2 linked regions of the Mytilus edulis genome follow. The protein of the gene in region 1 interacts with the protein of each later gene in a pairwise test. Links are inferred from orthologs where the notes say so. Each region holds a gene or a part of one and is shown in the gene's direction. Other genes may lie near its edges. The genes, in order: syntaxin-16-like and proteasome subunit alpha type-6-like.

The links.
Region 2: the proteins of syntaxin-16-like (region 1) and proteasome subunit alpha type-6-like interact in a two-hybrid assay, tested with the Caenorhabditis elegans proteins (3 studies listed by BioGRID). The link is inferred for Mytilus edulis from reciprocal best matches to the Caenorhabditis elegans genes syx-16 and pas-1.

The regions. Positions count from the first base shown.
Region 1 is NC_092348.1:67,001,485-67,014,897, forward strand, and holds the start of syntaxin-16-like, read left to right. Parts: upstream 1-7,696; 5' UTR 7,697-7,820; coding exon 7,821-7,901; intron 7,902-9,537; coding exon 9,538-9,632; intron 9,633-10,686; coding exon 10,687-10,739; intron 10,740-11,474; coding exon 11,475-11,581; intron 11,582-12,278; coding exon 12,279-12,441; intron 12,442-13,413. Other genes in the region: vesicle-associated membrane protein-associated protein A-like, read left to right, coding at 739-918.
Region 2 is NC_092346.1:58,861,406-58,874,266, reverse strand, and holds the start of proteasome subunit alpha type-6-like, read left to right. Parts: upstream 1-6,937; 5' UTR 6,938-7,028; coding exon 7,029-7,104; intron 7,105-12,861. Other genes in the region: adenosine 3'-phospho 5'-phosphosulfate transporter 1-like, read right to left, coding at 6,559-6,578. UniProt on the Caenorhabditis elegans protein: The proteasome is a multicatalytic proteinase complex which is characterized by its ability to cleave peptides with Arg, Phe, Tyr, Leu, and Glu adjacent to the leaving group at neutral or slightly basic pH.

The DNA.
Region 1 (13,413 bases):
CACTTTCACCATTCAAGATCTAGAAAAATAGCTGAATTTTTGGTTTCCTTTCTTTTACTTAAGTTTGCCTCAACTTAAGGGGGTTCGCGGGTCCAAATTATTAACAAAAATTACCTAGCTTTAACAGGGCAATATTCCAATGTTTGAACTTTTATTATACCCCCGCTTTAAAAAAGGGGGTATACTGTTTTACCTCTGTCTGTCCTTCCGTCTGTCCCATGAATATTTTTCGTCGCATTTTTCTCAGGAACTACAATACAAGGATTTCTGAAATTTGGTTTCAGGGTTTATCTAAGTCAGCTATACCGTGTGATGCGTTTTCAGATTGATCACTCGACAACTTACTGTTTACCGAACACTTGTATGATTTTACACATGATAGCCAAGTTGAAAATTTTCGTCACATTTTTCTCAGGAACTACAATACAAGGATTTCTGAAATTTGGTTTCAGGATTTATATAAGTCAGCTATACCGTGTGATGCCTTTTCAGATTCATCACTCGACAACTTCCTGTTTACCGAACACTTGCATAGTTTTACACTATTAATATTATCCACTTGCAGCGGGGGTATCATCAGTGAGCAGTAGCTCGCAGTTTCACTTGTTTTCACATGATCTAGCTGGACAGGGAATTCATTTTGTTCCATTAAGTATCCCAAAAAACTGGATTTGACCCTTTGATCACCTTTCAGCAAAAACTTATGCAAATTCATAAAATTACATTTTTCTTTTTCAGGACAGTGAAGCAAGATTAAGAAAGACAGCCCTTAAAGAAACAGTGTCATCAACACCATCATACACACCTACACCAGAAACTAAACAGGATTTAATGAGTCAGATAACAGCGTTCCCTAATATAGCTATTATTATTGCTGCACTAATTATAGGAGTTATTCTTGGAAAAATGCTGTTATAACTATAACTGAACATGTGAATGCAACAAAGTGACTATATAAGACTGGAATTTAATAACTTTTAAAAAAATAGACATTTTAATTTGTAACTGTCACTGTTTAAATTTAAGATAAGTAATTTGGTGTAATAGTGAGTTTGATTCGAACAAGACCATATTAGGAAGCTTATTCATTACTATAGCGGTCGGTTAAGGACTTATTTAGCTTCAAAGTACCTCGTCTATAAAAAGGTTGGAATTTTTGTCCTAATTTTTTGCTTCTTAGTTATTTATACATTTTTAGCTCACCTTACCCAAAGAGCCAATTAAGCTTTTCTCATCACTTGGAGTCTGTCATCGTTGTCCAACTTCTCCTCTGAAACTACTGGGCCAAATTTAGCCAAACTTCATAAGGGTATCGTTCTGAAATGTGACCAATGACTTTGCATGCTAATCAATATGGCTAAAAATAGACCTAGGTGAGCGACACAGGCTCTTTAAAGTTTTATTAATATATTTGAATTATTAATTGTCCTTTTTTGTGAATAACACATATTTTTTTAATTCAAAATTTGGTTCAGTTTTCCAACAAAATTGAAAGATAGGTAAATGTGATATACAAGATGTTGACATATAGCACTTCATATTTATAAAGCAAGCACTTTTAAGGAATATGTCGTGAGTGATATTGAAATGATAAATGATAGTAGGGATTCTGTAATCACCTTGTGAAATAAGATTTTGTTGTTGTTAAGATACTGGATATAGCTAATGACAGCAACTAATTAGAATATTTAAAACTCATATAGAAGATGAGCAATATTAAAATATTAAAATGATAAATTCTTGTCAATTAAATTGAAATTGCTGAGGCACTTGTTCTACATTATGTGCTTAACATCCAAAAAAAATGTTATCTGCATGCAAAAAAAGAGACTAATACAAGCAGTTTATTGTATTTATTATATTTCTAACATTAAACAATAAATGAATGCTTAAATCATTCTTAATATCAGAAGTAATGCATGTTATAATTCATTATTGAATGATATAATTTCATACTTGTATGTACTTTCATCAAATTGATAGAATACTATATTGTGTATTAGATGTGTTCATACTTGTGTATTATATGAAAGGTGTATTATCATTTAACACATATGTTTTGGGAGTTTTGTTATTAAAAGAAGTATTGATAAAGCATATATAGTTCCTGGAATAGTTTTATACATATTCTATCGAAAAATTCTATAAAGGTGCTAGCTTTGAATTACATAATATTTTAATTCAGATCAAATCTGGTTTTGCACAAAACCCATAAAATTTTCTGAAATTCTCTGAAATGTCTATAGGAACTATACGACTATATTTGAAAGAAAACTTAATGATGATCATATGCACATGTGCATTTTTAGGCCTTTGTACAAATGTTGTATATTTCATTTTTTAGACCAAAATTTAAGTTGATGCACTGTTTTGTTTTCCATGGTCTTATTTTGTTTTGTTTTAGTTTTTTTTATGAAAATGTTTACTTTTTCCATTGTTATTCTTTTTGTTTGTTTAGACTGTTAATTTAATTAACTTCTTTTCTTAAGTTTTGCCTTATTTAAACTAGATTCTATGAAGTCTAGTTGAAGGTTCATAATTTCTTTTTGTTTTATTTAAGAAAGACACCAAATGAAAAGAAAACAAATTTATACTTTCACACCCTTAAAGTACGGAACAATAAAATGTTGTACAATTATGCGATACATTTCTGCTTTCTGACATTTAAAACTTGAAATCATAAACAGTGGTTGTGATAATGATGCCAAAATATAGGGATTTTCAGATGTAAGAAAGTAATATAAAGTCCCCTTGTACATATGTCTCATCACAACCATATCACAGCTTTTGATATTGTATTGAAAAGAAGAAATTTGGAGAGAAGTTTTGTAACGTATTGGTTGATACTTAATATGCAAGTTTTTCTTTCTTAAATATACTAGAACATGTGTCAGTTTGATGTATAATATTTATAATTTATTAGATAAGATGTTATTAAATACAATATCTTCTATTTTCATGATTTTCCTGTTACCCAATGCATAACTGTCTTATGAAATTGAATAATGTTTTCTCTTGGTTGGAATTATTACATGTGTAAATTAAAGCTTTTTCTTTCGAATACTTTTACAAGCTTTCTAGGTTACCAGTGATGTAAGTTCATCATATAACACTTATTATATAACTTTATAAATTTTCATAACTATAATTTATTAGAAAGACTTTCTGATCTATAAACTTAACATAATAATTTTCTAGGTTGATATTTGTTGACTTTTTTTTTTATAATACTGACTTTTGACTCCAATTGATATTTTTTGACAGGCTATACCTACTCTACTCTGTGGTAGGTCGTCCTGGTACCAAGTCCAGTAAATGCAACTTAAAGAAGTACATGTATAATCAAGCTTTCAATCTATACAAATGTTTGGGTGAATTGCTTTATATTTTCTTTGCACAACAAACACAACTGAAAACAGTAAACTTTTCCCTCAATTTCACCCATTATATGTTTAATTTTACTTTATTGGTGGCCCTTACTTGACCAAGTACCAGGAGGTCTTACCACAGAAATAGTTACCGGGGTACCTATTGAAAAATTATAAAGTCTGAGTTAAAAGTTGGTAATATGAAAATAGTCTATTGAAAGTGGGAAAAAAATATTTAACAGTAACTGTGCATTGACAACTCCTGACTTGAATTATTAAATGAGTGATGTATATATTTTATAGATGTTCTTTTATACAATGAAAATTACATTGAAGGCACCTTACTCTAGTTCTTAGTTGATTTATTCTTTCTCAAACCTTTGTAAACATAATCAACATCTGGTTTTGTCTTAACTTGTGCTTCTTCATTGGTTAAAATTCTCTTATCTCCCTGCTTTTGCGCAAGTCACTCAATCCAGATATATTTTGGGTTATGAATAAGTGATCATTTTGATTTTCAGTGTTTCTAATGGCCATGGTCTTGTCTGTCCTTTGTCTTATGTTTAATTTCAAATTTTCTTGTTAAGATTGTTTTGTGTTTTAAATTTAGTAGTTTCTTTAGGTTAGACGTCAACCAATCTTCTTTTATCACCAACTTCATTGTATTACTAGCAGAATTTAACAAGAGTAACACAAGATTGCCACTTGTGGAACAAGAGTAGCATCCTCTTTGATTCATGTTTTTGATTATTTTTCTCTGACCTTTTTGACACTGGTACAATTTTTATATGTGACAACTGTGGAGAGAATAGAAATATCTAATGAAGACTTACATTAATAACATTTAGTTGGAAGGTATGGATTCTTTCCATTATGTTTTTCACAAATTTCTATTTAAGAAGTTTTGATAAATTTGTTTCTTACATTACAACTTTGCCATCTGGTTAATTAAAAACAAAATCACTGAAAACATAAAAAAAAAAAAACCTGATCCCCATTACTAAGAGAAATATAAATGCACAAATTTTTCGAAACAGCTTTTAACTTTTTTACAAAAACAAGTGAATGAAGTGAACAGGTATAAGTTATTAGACAAAGGTTTACAAGACAAAAAATGATATAAATAATTTATTAGACTTAAGGTGGTACCTAACACTTTAACTAAAATTAATTTGGCTCGTTTAATTTTCTTAAAATTTTGACAAAGTATTTACTTTGACCCTTTGACAAAAATATAAAAATTTCAAAAAATTTGAACCAACCGTTTAATCAGAAAAATTACACTGGTTATATAACAGTTTGACAAACACTTATTTTGATCATTGAGAAGCTTAATATTCCCTTATGAACACAACGTCATTAAAACGTTCTGCTGATTTTACAGAGTTATCTCCCTGTAGTGTTAGGTACCACCTTAATATAGGGAAAGGAACAAATGAACAAAAGGATATATATTTGCTGAATGACATCTACCTGTTGATTAAAAAAGATTGATATTTTATACTAGTTTATATGTAGTTTTCATTTTTCACATCATATTTCAATATTAGTATTGGATAGTCTTGGACTCTGGGTTCAACCTAGTATAATTCTTTGTTTCCTCATTTTTAAGTGCTATGTCCTGGAACTGACAGGCGCAAACTTCAAAATAACAAAGCCAAGCTGGGTTATAAAATGACCAGTACTTTAAGCAAGGGTGGAATGGGATATTTAAAAATAATTTATTATGGCTTGTTAAAATTTAACTGACCAATTATTCCAGTCATATGTGTGTGCAATTTAATCTGCAATTGAGAATACTTCAATGGTTTTCGGTGTAAAATCATGTAATTTATTTATGTGCTAAGCCACTGCTAACTACCTGCTTTGAATGTAATACAAGTAATCAGTTGTATATTCAGTATGTAACATTATAGATGTAAACATTTCTAACTGATGTTACACAACCATCATTTCTACTGCTTCAACCATTTGTTACTTTCATGGGACATCATTGAAGAATAGAATGGAGTAAGTCCTGAAATGAAAGTGTACAAGTCATTTAGTTTGTTAAAATAAACTTTTATGATGATAGTGATTTTATATTTATTGCCTTAAACACTGACACATAAGAGGAAAAAGTCATGATTTTTGTTTTAAAAAACAAACAAATATTGTATTGGATTCATAAATCATACTTTGTTTCAACTGTTAGGTTTGATCGATATTGAAAATAATGCACTTCTAATATACCCCAATGGCATTCATGAAAACAAAAGAACACATTACATAACACATTACAAAAATGATTTCAAAGAAAGCCTTAGTTTATTTTCTGAAATAAAATAATCTACTGGGCAACATTACTGTCACATCTAAATAAAAAGAATGGTGTCACTACTGGTTTGAAAGAAATATTTTGATTATTCACATCTACAAAAAAATGTGTAAAATTGCTACTTTTTGTAGAGATAAATCTGTATGAAATTTCACATCCGACACCTAGAAATTCTGAAGTCAGAACAACTTAATAGTTCTCCCGTTAACAGCCATGAATGTTTATTCTCAGTCAACATGAACAGCTGGTGGTGAAAAAAATTGAATAAAGTTCCTCAGATATTCCAGAGGATAGAATTACCATATGAACCACCTTAATATATCTAACAGTTCAACTCAACAACAACTTGGGTCAAATTATGATTAAAGTGTATTTTAGCAACATTTCCTGGATATTTCTTTGTTATATTATTTCAAAAATGAGATAAATGTGTAAACATTATTATAAAACAACATAGAAAATTTATTAAAAGCAAAGTTGCTTCAAGTCCCTTGATTTAAAAATCAAGATTGAGAATGGAAATTTGGAATGTGGCAAAAGAAGCAACAACCTGTCCAAATAGTCAAAAAACGGGCCAAGGTCAGATCTTAAAAGTTTCATAATTAGTAGGGAAAGTAAAATCACAAAAAATGAACTCCAAAGAAAATTCAAAACAGAAAGTCCCTAATCAAATGGGAAAATCAAATGCTCAAACACATCAAACAAATAGACAACAACTGTCATATTCCTGACTTGGTACATGCATTTTCTTTAGTAGAAAATTGTGGATTAAATTTGGTTTTATAGCTGGCTAAACCTCACTATTGTAGACAGAAGTTTGTTTCATTGAAATAAGTAAAATTGTATAGTTCAAGCTTTAAACCTTACTTTTTTTTCCACAATGAAATAAAACTTAATATATTTTCCTTGGTGTGTGCATCTCCTTTTATATAGTCATCATCAAAATAGGATGTGTTAAATAACCAATGAAAAAAAACCAATCCATTAAAAAAGTAAGATTAAAGAGTGAATGAATAACTACATACCTTCAGGTGATTGTATAGCCTTCAATTATAAATGAAAGGTAAGTGATTAAATATGGTACAGTTTATGCAGCTGTGTGTGAATCATTACCATGCAGTATATATATAATTCAAAGGGAACAACCACTTAACTTCAAGTGAGGAGGGGGGGGGGGTAATTTTTTTTGCCTTTAGTTTGATTTTTCTTTCTTGGAAAGTGCAAACCTTTTTTTTTTTAGTTTTTCAATGCTGTCAATTTTTTTCAAAATTTAACATGCACTATGGCATTGGAAAAATCAGCATTCAAAATTATTTGTTTTTTTACAAATTGAGGATCAGAATACACAAAATATGACTACCTGAGCACATGCAATTAATATTTAAGGATGTCTGCTGGTCATGTTTTTGAATTCTTGTCATATTTTCGATTTTCTCAGGTTTTATCCATCCAAATGTATTAAAAAAAATTTTACACGACACCCCCCTTTTGTCTTCATAAATCTGTTCAATAGATCATTTCAGATTTAGTGATCCGGCGGCATGAAATCCTTGTTATTTTTTCTTGGTTTAAAGGGTAAAAAACAATTCCAATGTTAACAAATAGTAAAGTCTGAAGAAAACCCTTTTCCCGCCATTTTCTAAATGTCTCGTATTTTGAAAACTACACACGATACTAATGATTTTATTACTTTATTTTGTTTAAATATCAAAGTTGTTTTCATTTTAAGCAACCACATGAAATCCTTGTTATTTTAAATTAGAGCAGCAGACATCCTTAAATGCACAATTATATTTATTGCAACATTGATGTGGTGTTCCTGCATAGGAGGGATATACAATTACAATAGAAACTATTTTTATTTTTTTCTAAATACTCTTATTGATACATTAAATAATTATTATAATATAATAGATACACTTTTACATGATCTTGCATATATTTAGAATTGAATTCGATAAACAAGTCGACCAATACGTGTTACGGAGCACCGGAGTAAACCATGTGAGAAACAAACAAGACTTTTATTTACTGCGGATGATGGATTTGATGAAAACAGTTTCCTGAAAATTTGACAGTAGCCGGCTTTCTTGAAGATATTCTGTAGGAGAAAAACACAAAGAGAAAACATTAAAATGGCAACACGAAGTTTAACAGAGGTTTTCATTTTGATGAGAAACAATGCTTTACAAAGTCGTCATATGTTTTCTGAACATGTAAGAAATCAATAGAATTAAGAAAACAAACTATAATACTTTTAATTTTCGTTTCATCATCATGTACATGTATGTCTGTTTTCTTCAACAAAAACTTTCATTATATTCAAACTTAAAAGATCTGCATTGCAATGTATGTTATAAGACATAAGAAGATGTGAAAGAGGTGCGAAAAATACCATAAACTCATACTCAAATTCAAACTCATAGTCATAGATTGAAAATAAACTGACTCAACTACAAATGTATTGCAATGGCACATCAAAAGATGTAACTGAGTGGGGAAATACAAAGATGGATAGGTGCCCACAGTCCCACTCTCCCCCGTTTCTGTTTGCCTTGGGTCTGTCCATTATCCTGGTTTGATTGTTTGCCATTATGCCGGCATTATTTACATTTTGAGAGCAAAAAAAGAGGAGCTGGTTTAATAATGTAAATATTGAAGTAATTACATTAAACTATGAGTTTTCAATCTGTCTGTACATCAGTGTATTTTGCCCTTATCAAAACACAACTTATTACAATAACCATACGAAAAGCCTAAATATATTGTTTATCTTTTGAAATTGAAACAGTATCCAAAAGTAAAAAGCGACACACACAGAGGCATATCTTTCAAGACCAACAAACACTTAGGCCAAATAAAAATATATGTGTGGTTCCAGTAACCCGACCGACCCTAGAACTTTTTTTTTCATTTCTGAAAAATAAATTTTCAAACGATCAAATTTTGAGGATTGTGAATTAAAATAATTAAATTCAGATTTCTGTCATAAGTATCTGTTATGGCTAAAATGCAAGAATTCATAACTAAATGCAACAAAATTAACTAAAAACATATCATGACTGTTTTAGTTTACAACCAAACACATGTAAAAATGGTGGACTTCCGGTTGGGACGTATATAATACCCTATTTTTTAAAAGTATGTAACTGGAACCATACATATATTTTTATTTGGCCTTACATGTACAGTGGAATCCCCGGTGTCCGCCAACCGGTGATACCGTGCATTAGCTGATTTCGTCATATTACCACAGCAACACAAATAAAATTGTTCTTGTTATTGTTTTAGTATTCCGAAGGTATAAAAAGAATAAAATTGATAAGTTCAAGAGTTAAAATATTACTGCAATCCCATGATTTACAATATTTGGCCAATTCCCATTAAGAAAAATTACATCTGACATCAGATAAAATGTGTTTTATTTAAGACAAATCTATATCAGATTGAAATAATTTTTGCTCTGCATGCTTGGCAGTGTGTTTGGTTCAAATTCAGGCATATTTCGTAGCAGAAAATCTTTCCTTTATTCAAAATAATCTTTGTTTGGAAGGCATGCGCAAAATCACTGGATATTGGAGGAACTGACTGACTGCACCATACTGAACAGCCTTGCAATTAGTTACTTAAAATTCATCACCACACAAATAAAAACTGTTGCCTATTGTTTTTGTTTTTTTTATTATTATTATAACCTCTCTGAAATTCTTTATTGGGTCTTGATCATGATGGCAACATAAAAATGGGATAAGAACAGCCATGCAAACCTACAAAATAAAAAATAAAAACTTGTTAATTAAAAATCACAATGATTAATGTGCATGTTCTGACATCCAAAACATTTAATTTTAGGTTAATGATGACCGGATGGCACTTGTTTCAAATGCAGCTTCTGATATGGAAATGGGCAGTATTAATACAAAATCATCAAGACTGCCTCCAGAATGGTAAGTACGACTAACGATATATTTTTTTTTCTTGTGACACACAGAAAAAATTAGGGTCTATAGTTTATTTTTAGATATTTTTTTCATGTATACATCTTAATAGGTGTAATACCACCAACCAAATCATGGTACATTACATCCGGTTGTAGACCAAAATTTGGTCGAAAAAAATATTCCCTTGAATAATTTACTTTCAGGGGAGATAATTCAAACTTTAAAAACAAAAATTCAAAGATTATATTGACTTATACAAGGTTATGCTTCTTACATCTTAAAGCAAATAAAAATGACTTGTACAAGTATTATCCCTGACTGTTTAGTAAACACTAAATGTACCTCAAAAGTATAAGATCAAGACAAACTGCAGGAACAAAGTGTTTTACTTTCAATAACCAAATGGTTTGTTAATTGGTACATTTTTAAGCTTTAATGCATATTCCAGGCAGTTGTATTAATTAGACTTTTTCAAATATAGTAAGCAGGTAAAGAACACATGATACTTTCATCACAAACACCATAGCCCTTAAACATTATAAAATAGTCCATATTGTTACAAAAAATAAAAATAGAGGCAATAAACAAATAAATATAAAATACTTTTTATTCCACTTCCTATTTCAAGTAACAAAAACCAAAAATAACAATGAACAATTTTTTTTTTAATTTTAATTTTGGAATCCTACATAGACATGATATGTTGACAGAGTTGTGACAAGATGGCCTTGAAGCAGACAAAAACTTGATGTTTATCATTAGTGCACAATTAGTAATATCAAGCAAAGAAATCAACAGATACTGAAAACTGTCATGAAAATGTACACTTTCTGTAGACAATAAAAAAAATTGACTGATTTTGATAAATCATGTTTATTTTTTTTCCAAAAATAATGGTAATGATAATTATTTGAGACCTCTGTTTCTGAAGCATCACAGTAAAAGTTTAACCAATTTGACACTAGTAGTAGCCGAAAATGACCATTTCCACCTGACAGTAAAAGGCATTCATACCCTCTTACATAGCATAATAAATACATTTTACAAATTATTTTGACAGGGTAGATGGAGTAGAAGAGGTACAATATGAAATGACAAAAATCAAAACTAAAAGTAAGTATACAGATTTTTTCAGATTTCAATTTACATATGTAGATGTAATTATTGCAACCATTGAAAATGCAAATGTACCCATTTCTCATTAGTTAACTTTTTGGGTAAAGATTGCATGAAATGCTATCAAAACCCTATGGTACTGACTTGATATCTAAATCTTCAAAGTTTTATCACTACCTTTGAGATCCACACAATATGGTGCATTGATCATAACATTCTTAACATCCTATCCGTGAACATTACCAGAAATGTATCAATAAAATATATACTCAGATATTCAGTTAAAAAATTATGTTATACTTGTCAAAATTAGATAACTTTTGCAAGGTACATGAATCTAATTAATATCTATTCTATAAATATCAATGATGTCATCTTTAAGAATAAGAGTTATCTTCCTTTGTTTAATGGTTTATAAAATGCAATTAAATTATTGAATTTTACTTTCCACTTATAAATTGTAGCAATCTTCACCATTCAGTGCTTACAAACACTTAGGTTTCACAGTTTGGATAATATGATAGAGATTTCCAAATAATATATCCCAAATTTTGGTTGGTCAGGCCAAAATAGCTATTTTAATAAATTTTATAATAATTTTAGAAATTTACAGTATGCAGAATCATTGTTAGCTGGAAGGAATTGTTAACTTGAACTTAATGTTATTGACTGGTTTTGTCGGGTTAAACAATTGGACCTTTAACATAAAACTGCATATTTTTGATTTTTTAGTGAAGGAACTTGCAACACTCCATGACAGACATTTAAACAGACCAACGTTAGATGATAATGTGCAGGAGGAACATGCTATAGAAATAATGACACAAGATATTACACAGGTTTGTTTTCATGTTAAGGGAGATGATTTGAGATATAACCCAAACAGACAGCAACCCAATGACACAAAAAAAACCAAGAAGACATGAAGTAGTCTATAAATATACTTCAAGAATAGACCATTGTAAAGCTCTATATGCCTATCGCATACTCAATTGTGTTTGTAAATTTAACAGAAACCATTAAAAACTACTGTCCACACTGAAGTCTCTGAATGACAAAAATTAGAATACAACTAAGGAGCACCACTGACAATGTTCCTGACATAGGGAGGCACATATACTTGTTTCAGATGTTTAATCTCAATCATTTGAATATCAAAAGGTATATAGAAAAATCAGGACATAGAAAACATTTGATGAATTATATTGCTGAAGTAGATAGTCAAAACACAATTGTATGCAAAACAATAATAAACTCTGCCCTAGCAAAGAGTACACAATTCAATCATCCAAATAGCACAATTTTATTAGTAACATTCAAAATATTTCATACTGTGAATTCACTTATTTTTCATTGGTAGTAATTTTCTTTGATTAGGAATATTTGATTCCATGATTTTGCTAAAGTCTGCATACAGGGAAATATATTTAATGTTGTTCAGTTGAATTCATTGTTTATCTTTACCATAGAAATCCATGAAAATTTATATCGAACGAATAATTTTGAATCAAGAGTAAACAATTAGTTTTCTTGCAGATGTTTACCAGATGTCAAATAACAGTTCAGAGAATAAGTCACAAAGGAAACCATGGGACAGAGCAGGAAAAAAGACTAGCCAAAAATATAGTATCATCTGTGGCCAGATCACTACAAGATATGTCATTAAATTTTAGAAAAACACAATCAGATTACCTCAGAAGTAAGTTGTTTCATCTTTTGATAGGGTAGACTAGAAATTCTTTGATACTGACACTGATGACCAAGGATTGTTCCATTAAAACATACATGATACCCAGTGAAGGCACTTTTAAAAAGGAAACCACCTATAGAGTCAACTTACAATTTCACTTGCATATCCGCTATACAAAAAGATAGATGACACCCTACCATTGTTCAGATTTGGAAGTGCCTTCCCTGGGTTCCATGTATATTTTTATGGAACATCCCTAAAATAGTCAAGAACACAATTGTATAAATAGTAATATGACAAAGTCATGTAAACTTGTCCTATAACTTTGATTTTATTGTTACATAAAAACATTTTCACTGAAACCTTTAAGTTTTTCTTCGCTTCTAAAAGTCGGAGCTTCTTGTTGACTGATACAGATCTTCATCTGGTTATTTCATACAGTATTACACATTTACAGTTCCTTACTTGTAACTTAATTAATGAGTCAGTTTTAGTCAAACCAAGAAACTGTACATTTGTAATAGAATAAACTCAGTAAATTTGGCATCTTAAGGTGGCTCGGGCATATATGAAGTTTCTATCAGAAGTGCCGTATTTGTGTTTATTTTATTCTTTACAGAAAGTGAAACAAAGTGGTAGAAAAAAAATATGGGGTCACTGACCATTTAAGCTCAAAATTTTACTTTTAAACAGGTGTGTAAAAGGGATCGTTTTTCAATGAAATGGTAGGGAATATAGAGGTGTTGACATATTTTTATCGGAATATCAAAAAATTTCTATGACACTTGGTCCAAAACTCTTATATAAAAAGCTGAAATATAGCTTCAAACAGTGAGCAAATAAAAACATAAGTCATCAATAAAAAAAAAATATTTTGCTTTAAAATCCAAATTTAGGCGGGAAAATGGTGAAATTGGGTGAAATGTCATTTTGAGCCTTTCACAGATACACATAATAATGATAATATTTTTTGAAGGACAT
Region 2 (12,861 bases), on another chromosome or scaffold:
TTTTTTAAGTAAAACGATGGTGCAGTGATCAGTCTGCATGGCTGAATGCATTCATTTTGTTACTTGGTATTGAAGTGTAGTAAAGACAAAGATTTTTTCCGAATTATTTTCATCCAAGTTTGGCCTTTTACCTAAATTTTGAAATAAATTGATAGATAAGCTAAATTATCACCTTAAAGTTAAAGCTGTCATTTCCTTTGTGTGTTAAGTAAAAAGGTATTCATTATGTAATGTTATTTTTGAAATTAATGTTTGGTAATTCAAGAGATGTTATGTTGTTCATAAGGGGATTAAAAGAAATATACCAGCCTTTTTTTATGTATGACTTAATCTGATTGGGCAGTACTTTATTTTATGATTGTCTGATAAAACAATATGAGCAGAAGTAAGTTCAGTTTTTGAAAGAGTGAAAATAGACTTCCTTCCCATGTTGAGTGTCACTGTGTGGTTGAAAAAATAGGATGCTATATTGCATGAAATGTTCTGCAAATTAAATTCTAATAAGTAATAATCAACACTGTTGTCAAAAAGAGGGAATTCTTTCTTAATTTTTCCTTCATAATGATGATCACAAAAATATTTGATGAGCTTTAATTATAATAGGATACAGGTGGTCCACTTCATCTTGTAAATTATGTCATAAAGGTATGCATAACTTTTCAGGTAAAGGAGTCCTAAGTTAGAACCGGTGCAAACAAATGCAGCGTGTTTGATGTAAAGACTTAAGCAAAACAGTCATATAAAAAAACACAGGGCAAAAATGGAGATAATGGTTAATACATATAAATCATAAACTGTTATTGTGAAATGGATTGCATAATGTACAAATGTACATATATTTGAATGTTGATATTACTAACATTTTCAATTGAAAATGTGTTTGTTGTAATACATGTATTAATGATGACCATCATAGCCAGGCCAACCTCAAACAGTAACTTTCAACTCTACTACATGTACTATGTCTTGAGATAATCAACCCCCACAAATTAATCCATGATAATAAGGGTCAAGAAGAACAAGAACATCGACTTCACCCTAGTAAAAAATAAACCAAAAACAAACCAAATGGTTATTTACATCATTAAAACAGAAATTTAAGTATAAAAAGTTTAAACATATCAAATTTAAAGAAAAGAATTGAAACATGCACATATTGCTCCATAATTATTATTGAAAATTTAAAGACTTTGGCAAATTAAACCATGTCTAATAGAGGGAAAACAAGCATAATTTTTAGCTTTTGCATTGTGACATGTGTGTAATGTAAATATACATTTAAGTACGTGTATACAAGGGATTATTTCAAAAATCCAGTTTGAAAATAATGTCTAATAGGATGTGATGCATGTTAACATTCAAAATCCTGAATAACAGCTGGCATTAACAAAATACAATCAGATGTTAAATGCATTTTGCCGAATTATGAATAGATTTTTGTAGCATAAGGTATTATAAAATTAAAATAAGAATTAGAAATTTCTGTTACAATTAATTAGCACTAGCAAATTTCTAGCAGGAAATTGTGCTTAAGGTTTTGAACAGTATGCTTTTATGCAATTTATTTATTTTTACTTTAGGCTTAAGTCAATAGTCTTCCTAATTTTGAATATAGTTTTGACAATGACTACAAATGAATGTTGTTTTTTTTTTAATTTGCTGGTTAGGTGCCACTTTCAATGCCCTTAAAATAGCTTCATGTTACGATGCATATAATGCCAGCCAGTTTTTTGTTTGCAAGGCAGCATCTATAAAAATTTCGGAAAAACCAACAATCTACATTCATACATGTACATATACGGCTAGAAAACTGACAATCTTCGTCATTTAAGATTGAAATAGATTTCACCTTTACAAGAGTTAAAACTTGCAACCTCATTGCATAGATTACTGTTATAACTGTAAAAGAAGTTCACACATGCATAAAAAACTCTGTAATTCATGTCAAGATATAAACTAAGACCAACAAAAACATTTTTATGGTTTTCAGTGTACCGGTATATGTAATATTCTTAAAGAAAATAATGCATGTTTACAATGCAAACCAGATACTCTGCAGGGCGCAGCTTTATACGACCGCAAAGGTCGAACCCTGAACAGTCTGGGCAACTACATGTATGGACACAACATTTAAGCTTGATACAGCTCTGAATTTGGATTGTGATTAAATAGTTGACACAACATAGGTCTCTGACACAGAATGAATGTGGTCTAAGAACTTAAACTTAAAAACTTAAAAATTTTAAATTGGACATTTACCTATTATGGTCCAATATCCAAAATCTAATTACATGGTTAAATTCAGCATATATCATAGAACCCCAATTGCAAGAACTCAGTTTTTAATGAAATCAAATAATGTTAAATTTTAGACCCCTTAGACCTCAATGTGGACCAATGTGGGCCCAAATATTAAAAATCTAAATACATGGTTAGATTCAGCATATTCATGATATTGATGAACCCAATATATATTCAATTTTTGTTGAAATCAAACAAAAAGTTTAATTTTGGACCCCAATTTGGACCAACTTGAAAACTGGGTCCATAATCATAAATCTAAGTACATGTTTAGATTCAGCATATCAAAGAACCACAATAATTCATTTTTTGATGAAATCAAACAAAGTTTAATTTTAGACCCTTTTGGCCCCTTATTCCTAAACTCCCAAAAATCAATCCCAACCTTCCTTTTGTGGTCATAAACCTTAATTTAAAATTTCATAGATTTCTCTTCACTTATAAATACTAAAGTTATTGTGCAAAAACCAAGAAAAATGCTTATTTGGGCCCTTTTTGGCCCCTAGTTCCTAAACTGTTGGGACCAAAACTCCCAAAATCAATCTCAACCTTCTTTTTATGGTCATAAACCTTGTGTTTAAATTTCATAGATTTCTATTTACTAACTAAAGTTACATGTATAGTGCAAAAAACCAAATGTCTTTTGACGACAACGATGACGCCAACGTCATACCAATATACGACCAAAAAATTACGGTCGTATAAAAATGTTAATTTTGAATTTAATCTAATGAATATATGTTTAGAATCTTTTTTGTTTATTTGAAGCAATAAAAAAAAATATATAGCATCTTTGGTTTTTGAGTTTTCCAGAAACTTAATAATTTGCAAGATGAATCTCTCAGAATATCTTCAGTAATTGAATTTCATAGATCAATCTCAAAAAGGAATGTATTCACTGTGTTGAAGACCCATTGATGGCCTTCAGCTGTTTTTTTTTTACTCTTTAGTCTGGTGGTTGCCTTTTTAACACATTCCTATTTCCATTCTCTATATAATACATGTAATATATACCCATTACATCATTTTACAGCTTCAGTTACATTTTTGTTAAAATATCATGCATTTAGAAATTTATTAGAATTCAGAAAACTATGTACATGTCCTCCCCACCATCATGACTGTTTTCGTAAATTTGAATTTCAATGAATAATATTCTTACATGTTGTTGTACTTGTGTGACATTCAGCATGTACAATTCAAGTGTTAACCAAAATATTGTCAGACTAATGTTTCAAATTGAGGACATTTAAATTAAAATATGATCAAAATGACATAAAAAATGCCTCCATCTGAAAGCACTTGTTTATTATAGATATGAAATAAAAACAGAATACAATTATGGTCCTACATGTATTCCAGTACACCTTTCCATAACAGGTGAATCTGACATAAATGCAATGCTACAATAAATATTATGGCTGTGAACATGGTGAATGATGTTTCTCATTGTATACATTGTATCCATGTATGTACAAAATTGCCTGTTTAGTTTGTTCATTATCTTCATTGATCTTAGCTGTTTTAATATTTGAAATTTTGCACTTTGATTTTTTTATACACAACCCTAAAACAAGGGGGGTATAAACCTGAACAAAATGTACATTGTAGGGCCGTAAATTGCCTGCCCTGTAAGGGGAGGCAGTTTATTATCGCCGAGCGGAGCAGGGCAAAATTTTTTTTTGACCCATTCCATGCAGAAAAGGATATTTTTACTTTAGTTAAGGGAAAATTTTGCAAAAGACTTAAAATGAAAGCCCCCTGAAGTTGGTCATTTTTTGTGGTCCAAGTCGAACTAATTTTGACTTCGTTTCAAAGACACAATTTTCAAACCTTAAAATGAAAATGCATACTCAATCACTCATAATTTTATCTATCAAGTTCAAATTATTAAAACGTAACAATGTTTGTATACACCAAAAAGTTTTATTCTGGCTTTGTGAAATGCTAAGGTAATTTTTTTCTAACTGGACAAATCCCATCTTTTTAGCACTTCTATGCATTCAATATTCCCAACATTGTCACTTCTATGTATGCAGATGCAATAGTATTTGGTGGGAAAATTTTATGTGTGCAAAGGAGTTGAGTTGGGTACCGACCGTTCAGATCCAAATATTGAACACACCTGCATGCCATTATGATTAACCACCTTGTTGTTTTAACTTACAACCAGTGCTATAAAAATAATGCATGATTTCAACCAATTTTTTCTATTCAGTGGTTTTTTTTTTTCCATTTTTATTTTTGTCAGCCCGCAATAGGAGGCAACTACCTACATGCCTCTATGTAATTTACCGCCCTGACATTGTATGATGTATAAACCAGAAAAGTTCCTACCATACAGTGTTGTCATCATATTAACATTAGTACCTCACAGACATGGGGTAATTGAAATATGTAATTGTAATTGACTGTAATTAATTACAATTTATCATGTAATTGAATGTAATGTGTAATTGAGCATTTTTTCAATTACATGTAATTGAATGTAATTAATTACATAGCCAAAATTGCCTGTAATTGACAATTACTTTTCAATTACAAGTCAATTACATTTGAAATTTTGGATCAAAAGATTAAATCTTGTGTTTTCTCAAAAAATTATTAAAAGCAATAATCTTAACAAATGTTGTAAGCTGACAAAGAAAAGCCTTCACAGTATACTTTCTGTATTAACACAACCATGGTAGATTCTTCATTTTGTATTGAATGATAAAAAAAATGTAGACACATGCCATAAGAAACCACTAGGAAGTCACTGTCTTGACCTTAATTAGTAGATTTAGATAGATATTTTAAGACATTGATTTAACATAATTAACTTTATTCAAGGACTTAAATAACCAATAAATATAACCTCTGGCTATTTGTTTTATTACAAACTATATAATGACTGTTTTTATAACAGTTATGTTAAACAGATATAAGGCTAATTAGAGAGAGATAAATATACCCCTAGGGCCTATAGGTAAATGTTTAAATTCTTGAAGGGATAATGCATATGACAAAATCTCACTTGCAAAATTTGTTCACTATATATATGAATGTTGAAAGAAAACATTTTATCAGATTTAAAAATGAGCTCCAAGAGTGTACTGGAACATTTTACTGTTCCTGATGACTTCCAAAATGGAAATACTTTCAAAGGAAAATGTATGCATTGTGGCACCCTCATTAGTCATGTTAGTGGAAGTTATAAAGTTACATCCAACTTTGTTACACATATGAAGGTAATACTATATAAGAATTTTAAAAATTAATAAATTCATAATGCTTCTTTTTCATTTCTAATCAGATTTCATTTATCTTATATCCTCTAATAGCTTACATTTAAATTTGGAAAATATTTTGTTTATTAAATTAATTAGTTGTGATTAAAACTAAAGTTTATTTTTGTTTTAAGAAGTCAGATTTCTAAATCACTTATTTAAGATAAATAATTTGAATAAGCTGGGATAAAAATGAAAATCATTTCAAAAAATAAAAAATAGTGCTCTTTTTTTGTATCATTTACAATCAAATAAATTTAAATAAATGTAAAATTTCAATAGGTAAATTAAAACAATTTAATATTTTCAAGATATTAAATAAGGCCTTTTGTAATTTTCAGAGAAAACACAGAGAATTGTACATTCTGCATTCTGAGAATAAAGAAATTCAACCAACATTGACACAATGCATAAAAAAAAGTGTAAAATATTCACCGTCTGATCCAAAACAGTTAGAAATGACAAATGCTCTTATAATGTTCATAGCTGGGGATCTTTTACCACTCTCTATTGTCGAAAGTGAAGAATTTAAAAACTTGATGGAAAAAGCTGACACTAAGTATCAAGTGCCTAGCAGAAAGCATTTATCTTCGAAACTTCTACATGAAAAATCGGTTGAAATAAAAAATAACCTTGTAAATACTCTTAAAAGAGCTGAAAGTGTGAGGTACTACCTCATGAATATTTTCCCAAAAAATATGTAGTACCTCATGAATATTTTCCCCAAAAATTTACATCATTTTTGCACATTTTACTGTTTTATATAAAGTTTTCTTCCATTCCAGTTTTTGTCATTATTGGTCCTAATTCCATGAAGTGAATACATAATGCACTGGCTAAAAGATAAAATATGTCAGTATTGTCACGCCATATGTTTGAAAAATGTGACATTTTAGGGGAAAAGCACATAATTGCTGATTAAAACAGTAACAATATGTTACTATGTGACAGCCACATATAACTAAGTATAGTAAAGAGTTTACAGTACCTTTTGTGAGAAGGTTTCATGTTATTATTTTTTTTACTGTAAAACTCCTCTTATTGTTCATTCTCGGCCTGAACCGTATCACTATCACTATTACAGAAAGTTGTTTAGTTTATTTATGTGTGTGACACGTGAACCGTAATGAATAAATGTCAATTTACCTGTGATTTCCTTGGAACAAAACTTTTTGATTGATTGACGAGCTGCCAGCTAGGTTTGACTTCCGGTACGAAAAATAATGATAAAAAAGAAAGGCTAGCTTTGATAATAATATTCAGTTTGAATTGAAACTTTTATATTAATGGAAAACATAAATAAAAATATAATAACACGGCTTGATGCTTTTTATCAATTTACTCTATGATATTTTAGTTTTTTTTTAAATACGAAATCAGACAGTAAAGTCAGCACTTTTGAAAGAGCTTTATCACCCGGTATTTTTTATAATTTCATGGACATTTGTTCATAAAAAGATGTCTCGAGGTAGCAGTGCAGGTTTCGACAGACATATTACTATATTTTCTCCTGAAGGACGACTTTATCAAGTTGGTAAGGGATACTGTTGGTTCGATAAGAAGAAACGAAAAAAGGGGGAGGGTGACAACCACATTATCACATATATTTTTACTTTACATACGTCTCTATAAGTTCAGTACACACCACTTTCAAGACTTAGAGGTTAGCATCATTAAAGCTTTTTGAACTTTTGGTCTACATAAATTCTTAAGGTTCATCATAAGGAATTGAAAAATATGGCCGTGTTTACACCTCCAAAATTACTATGAGTACAGACAAACTGGTACATCCAGGAGAGTTTTAAGGCATGGCAGGAACTAGATATATAAAAGTTATATGAAGTCTACGTTTCAGAAAATTAAAAACTTACCTGGATTTTGATGTTCATTTTTTTCCAGTCTGCAGAAGATAGCAAAATAAACAAACACCCGAGTTTCATTTGATACGGTCCACTCAGTTACACAGTTTAAACCTGTTAAATCACCTATTGTTTACAGGTGTCTATTGTCCATCTATTGTCCATTTAAATCAATACTACTCACAACATTGATTATATGAGGGGAGCTTCTCAATCGTTTTCACTACTTAGTTAATTTTTGCACCTTCTGCAGGAACGAAAAAAAATGGATAGCAAAATCTAGAAAAGTTTATAATTTTCTGAAACATAAAATGCATTTAAAATTTATATATCTAGTTCCTGCCATCCCTTAAAACTGTTGCAGGTGTATAGATTAGTCTGTACTCGGAGTAAAATTTGGGGTGTAAATACGGCCATTTTAGCCAAAAGGTTATGATGAACCTTAAACCACATCTTCCTATATCTATGATAAAAAATTAAAAGCTAGCTGCTATATATATAATTCAATAAACATTCTATAGCATGATAGTATATGTTACAGGGAATTTGTAAAATCAGGGATTTTGTAAAATCACTGGACTAATCAGTGATTGTGTAAAATCACTAACAGTTTCAGTGGTTTGTAAAATCCCTGAAATTGTTCTGGATTTTACAAAATCACTAAAAATAGAGCTAGAGATTTTGTAAAAGTATAACATGCTATTAGAAATGTGCAGTGGCTGCTAGCCCAAAATAGAAGGGCGCCGCGCCCTGGGTGCCCTCAGCCGCGCCCTGGGTGCCTTCATCCGCGCCCTTCTGCCCTGACGTCTTTTTCCAAAATTATCTTGTGCCGTTTTGGTAAAATTTTGTTTCATCGATTTCTGATCTCCAAGTTAATTACATATATGACACCTGTGTGATTGCCCCCGGGTTAATCATGTCATTACAATCAATTACAATGATAAAGACTTCGAAGGTGTTAATAACTAGGTAATTTAATTAGGACAATGTATCTTTTTGTCATACTTTTGATGAATGTGTCAGCGAGTGTGTTTAGCTTGGGTCGGCATTTTCGATCTCCAAGTCACAATGGAAGAGCGAATATAAATGAAGACTTTCATGACTTTAGAATTGAATACAAGTCATCAAAATAAAACTATGCCTTTACAGAAATGCCTTCCATCTCAACTTGTTAGCGACAAGCAGTTTTTAATTAACCCAAACGTGGTGGGAATTGATTTTGGAGTTACTTCCCCTGTTTTAGCTTATTAAAAATTTGTGCTCTAAAATTATTATCTAGTATAAAAAAAAAGGAATAAATTACCAATTGAATATATAATAACATAATAATGTTACCTTAAAGATATTAACTGTCTTTGAACATATTAAAAAATATATATTGCAATTTCTACTTGATAATTATACTTTTAGCAATCCATGTTCTAAACATTGACATTGTTAAATTAGTAATGCTCTCAGATTCAGATCATATCATGTATTAAAAGCTATAATTCCTATATAGATAAGAAAAACACATATTCTTTGATAATGGGTAGAGTGAAGTTAAACTGTAAAAACATAATATGTTGATGAAGATATACTATATCATTCATAACTACACAAACAATTAAATAAAGACTATAGTTAAAAAGCATCTTTATTTAAAAAAAAAACCATATACAGTAAAAAAAAAAAGAGATTCGTTAACTCGTGATACACACAGAAACGTAGACAAAAAAATGAGCAGCGCCTTTTCTTATCATAAAAAGTGCCCTGCCCTCCACTGGCACCCTGCCCCTTTTGATTTCTAGCTAGAGCACTGATGTGTTTTTCTTAATATAAAGATAGACCAAATGAATGATCACTAATGATTTATAAATACAATGTATATTTGTTTAATAAATAAACTCTATGAGCTAGAACTTGTGTATAATGATAATGACTAAAAGGCATTTAAACAGGTATTTAGACCACTCTGAATTTGCTTATTTTTGCAAGACAAGTTTGGGTGACATCCCTACCACTATAAGCTATTGATATGTGAATTCTCTTAACTATGCTGTACATGTCTTCAAGACATACATAATATTTTTAAAACATCTTCATCTGATGAATATAGTTTTTAACAATTTTTTCAAATCTTCACATTGAAGAACTTCATACCTTCATTTATCAACAAAATATTTACTTTATTTGGATTAAAAGAGTTGAGAAATTTTAGAAACTTATTCAAAGTTATACTACTTTGTGATAGAATACATGTGTCTGATAAATGATCAAAGTAGGTAAAACTTTGTTTATTTTTGCTTGGTTAGATTAACCTATTCATGAACATGCAAGTGCAAAACAAAGTGTTTTTACCAATGTTTTCTGTTGTCTTTTTTTATTATTATTTTGTGAATATAAATGTTATTTTATAGGCAGCAAATTAATAATACAACACTTTTTCATGCAGCAATAAGATGCTCTTGATCTGATATGCATGTAATATTTGCCACTGGATCACATACCCTAACCCACTCAATTTCTTATACCTTACATATATGTGTTTTTCTTCTCTAATGACAGCAATCAACCTAATGTTCTGATCAGTTTTTATATTTGATTTAAAAAATTGATATAATTGGTTTTATTTTCTACTGTAATTATACAGAAAAACTATAATAAACAGTAACTTTCTTTCAAACACGGTAGTGATAACAGCTTGTTTTGTCTTCCTTCTGTGGCTCATTGACCAAATAATCCAAAATGTTTATCATATTCCCTGGTTCCATATGTTGCACTTTAATTTTACCTCAATTATTTGAAGTAACTTTTGTGTGTATGTTTGCTCTTGATTTCAAGACATTTGTGCCTGAGCCATTGTTCTACAGTATGTCAGTTGTTTTGTGCATGAAAACCGCTCACTTAATATTAAAATAAAGACTAAATTAACCTCAAACTTATTGAGTGTTACTGTTGTAGTCTTTTTTCACAGAAATTCTTAATAAAAATGAATGAATGTATTTTACAAATTCCCTGAATTTAATCAGTGAATCTGTAAAAAAGATCTTAATTATTTCAGGGATTTTGTAAAATCACTAGTCAAAATCAGATATTTTATAAAATCACTAATCAGTTCAGTGATTTTACAAATTCCCTGAAATTTCAGTGATTTTACAAAATCACTGATTTCACAAATTCCCTGTAACATATACACCTTATCGCTATTTGTCTGCCATTACTGGATATTACACAGGTTCCCGTAAAATTTTGACGTCATAAAACAAAATTTCTGACGCCACAATGGAAAACTGATTGTTGTTGACGTGAAAAGTTCAAGCGGCCAGGTCAGCCTGGATTAGCGATAAGGTGTATTGTTATCTACATGTATTCATATCAAAATTTTCATAAGAATCTTATCTTATTATATCTTATTATTATCATAGATATAGGAAGATGTGGTGTGAGTGCCAATGAGACAACTCTCCATCCAAATAACAATTTATTCCAAATAACAATTTATAAAAGACTTAAAGTAAACCATTATGGGTCAATGTTCTGCCTTCAACACAGAGCCTTGGCTCACACCGAACAAGTTCTTTTTTGTTTATCTCCATAAGAATTTGTGAACACTTAATTATAATAAAGAAGGCATGTACAGAATAGAATAGAATATTTTATTTACCAAATTAGGGCCCCAGGAGGGCATATAGCATACAGACAATATTATACATGTATGTACCCTTTCGAGACTTGACATCCACACTTCCACAACGTCCATAGACGTCAGCTATATTTTCCGTAGCCTGCAAAGACCAACTGTCCAAAGGACTCATTGTCCATAGCCAGGGTTGGCAAAGTATTACCCACCCGGTAATTCCCAGGTCCGGGTTTTCCCGGGCTGGGCAATACTCCCAGAAATGGTAATAGTGGGCATTACTGGGCAATATGATTTTTTAAGCTTTTTTTTTAACACAAAATATTAAAGACTTGTTGTAGTTTCATAGTATTACAGCTAAATACATTCTTTTTATACAGATAACCATTGAGAGTCATTTTTAGAAGAATGAATATTCAATTTCACTTGTTTTTCCTTAATTTTATATGCAGGCAGAATATAAGATTATCACGTTTAACCCTTTCACCGATTGATGCCCAGACAAAAGCTACTCTGAGACGATGGCTTCCCTGGCTACTATATTACTCAAGTGGGAGATCTTCATAATAAATGTCAATAAAAACTTGTTTGTAGTTATTTGTGTATTTATTTCATTCACTAACACCATGTTCACAGTTTTGTTCATGTTTTGATAACTTATTCTTCATAAAATATTCAAATTTTCAATTTTTCGCCGTTATCTAGGTGAAATTCTCAAAATTCTGCTCTAAGACCCAAATCGTAATTTTTTAACCCAAAACGGCAAAATTTTGAAAAATTTTATGAGGCTGTACAAATTCCTCGCACTGAATGATGTCCATTCCAAGTGTTTTGTACATAAAACAACATTTTATGTCAAAAAAGTATACTAGTTTGGCTTCAATTCTTCCATATTCTTTCAAATTTTTTTTTCCCTCATTTCAAATTCTCGTAAATTCCGTAAATTTCGTCTGATTTTGACACGGTTTTCAACAAACGGAAGCGCCATGTTTACACTTTCATCCGGGTATTCATCAAAGAAAGATAACTCATGTTAGCACTGTTTTGAGCGGGAAATATAAAAGAGGTATTCCGATCCCGGTAAAACGGGACTCATCGTCAGCTGTCTGAAGCGTGAATCCCGGTAAACCGGGACTCATCAGCGAAAGGGTTAAGGATACATATTGTACCTTGTTAATTACCAAGCATTATTTCAATAATCCAAACTTTGATAAAATTGCTTTTTTTTAAGTGAATTGTCATTTTAACATTCATTTAAACAAGAATATTATAAAGAACATTATTTAAGTGTTCATATGCCAGGAAAATATAAAAGCGCCTTTGCTAAATTTCGATGTGGTGTGGCGCCAATAAGAATTGAAACAGGCAGATATGAAGGGGTTTTAAGTGAAAATAGATTTTGTTTTAATGATTCATGTATGCAACAGAAACTCATTGAAGATGAGAAACATGTTTTACTCAAATGCCCTTTATATTCACATACAAGACAAGAGGTTTTTACTAGAGCAGTTTCTTTTAATATTGATTTTTTAGACTTAAATGATGATGAAAAATTTATATTTTTATTTACAAATGAAAATTTGTGCTTTTATTCTGCCAAAATCTGCCATGATATTTTAATTCAAAGGACGAATGTTTTATATAGATAAAAAATGTTTTGTATTTTTATCGAGCTGTCCTTTTTTATGTAAAAGTCTCTCATAACTCTTTTGAGAGTGGCTCTTGAATGTTTTTAAGACTGCAGGGCTGGGCAATACTCATAAAACCCGGGTTTTTGCCAACCCTGTCCATAGCCTGCAAAGACATACATTGT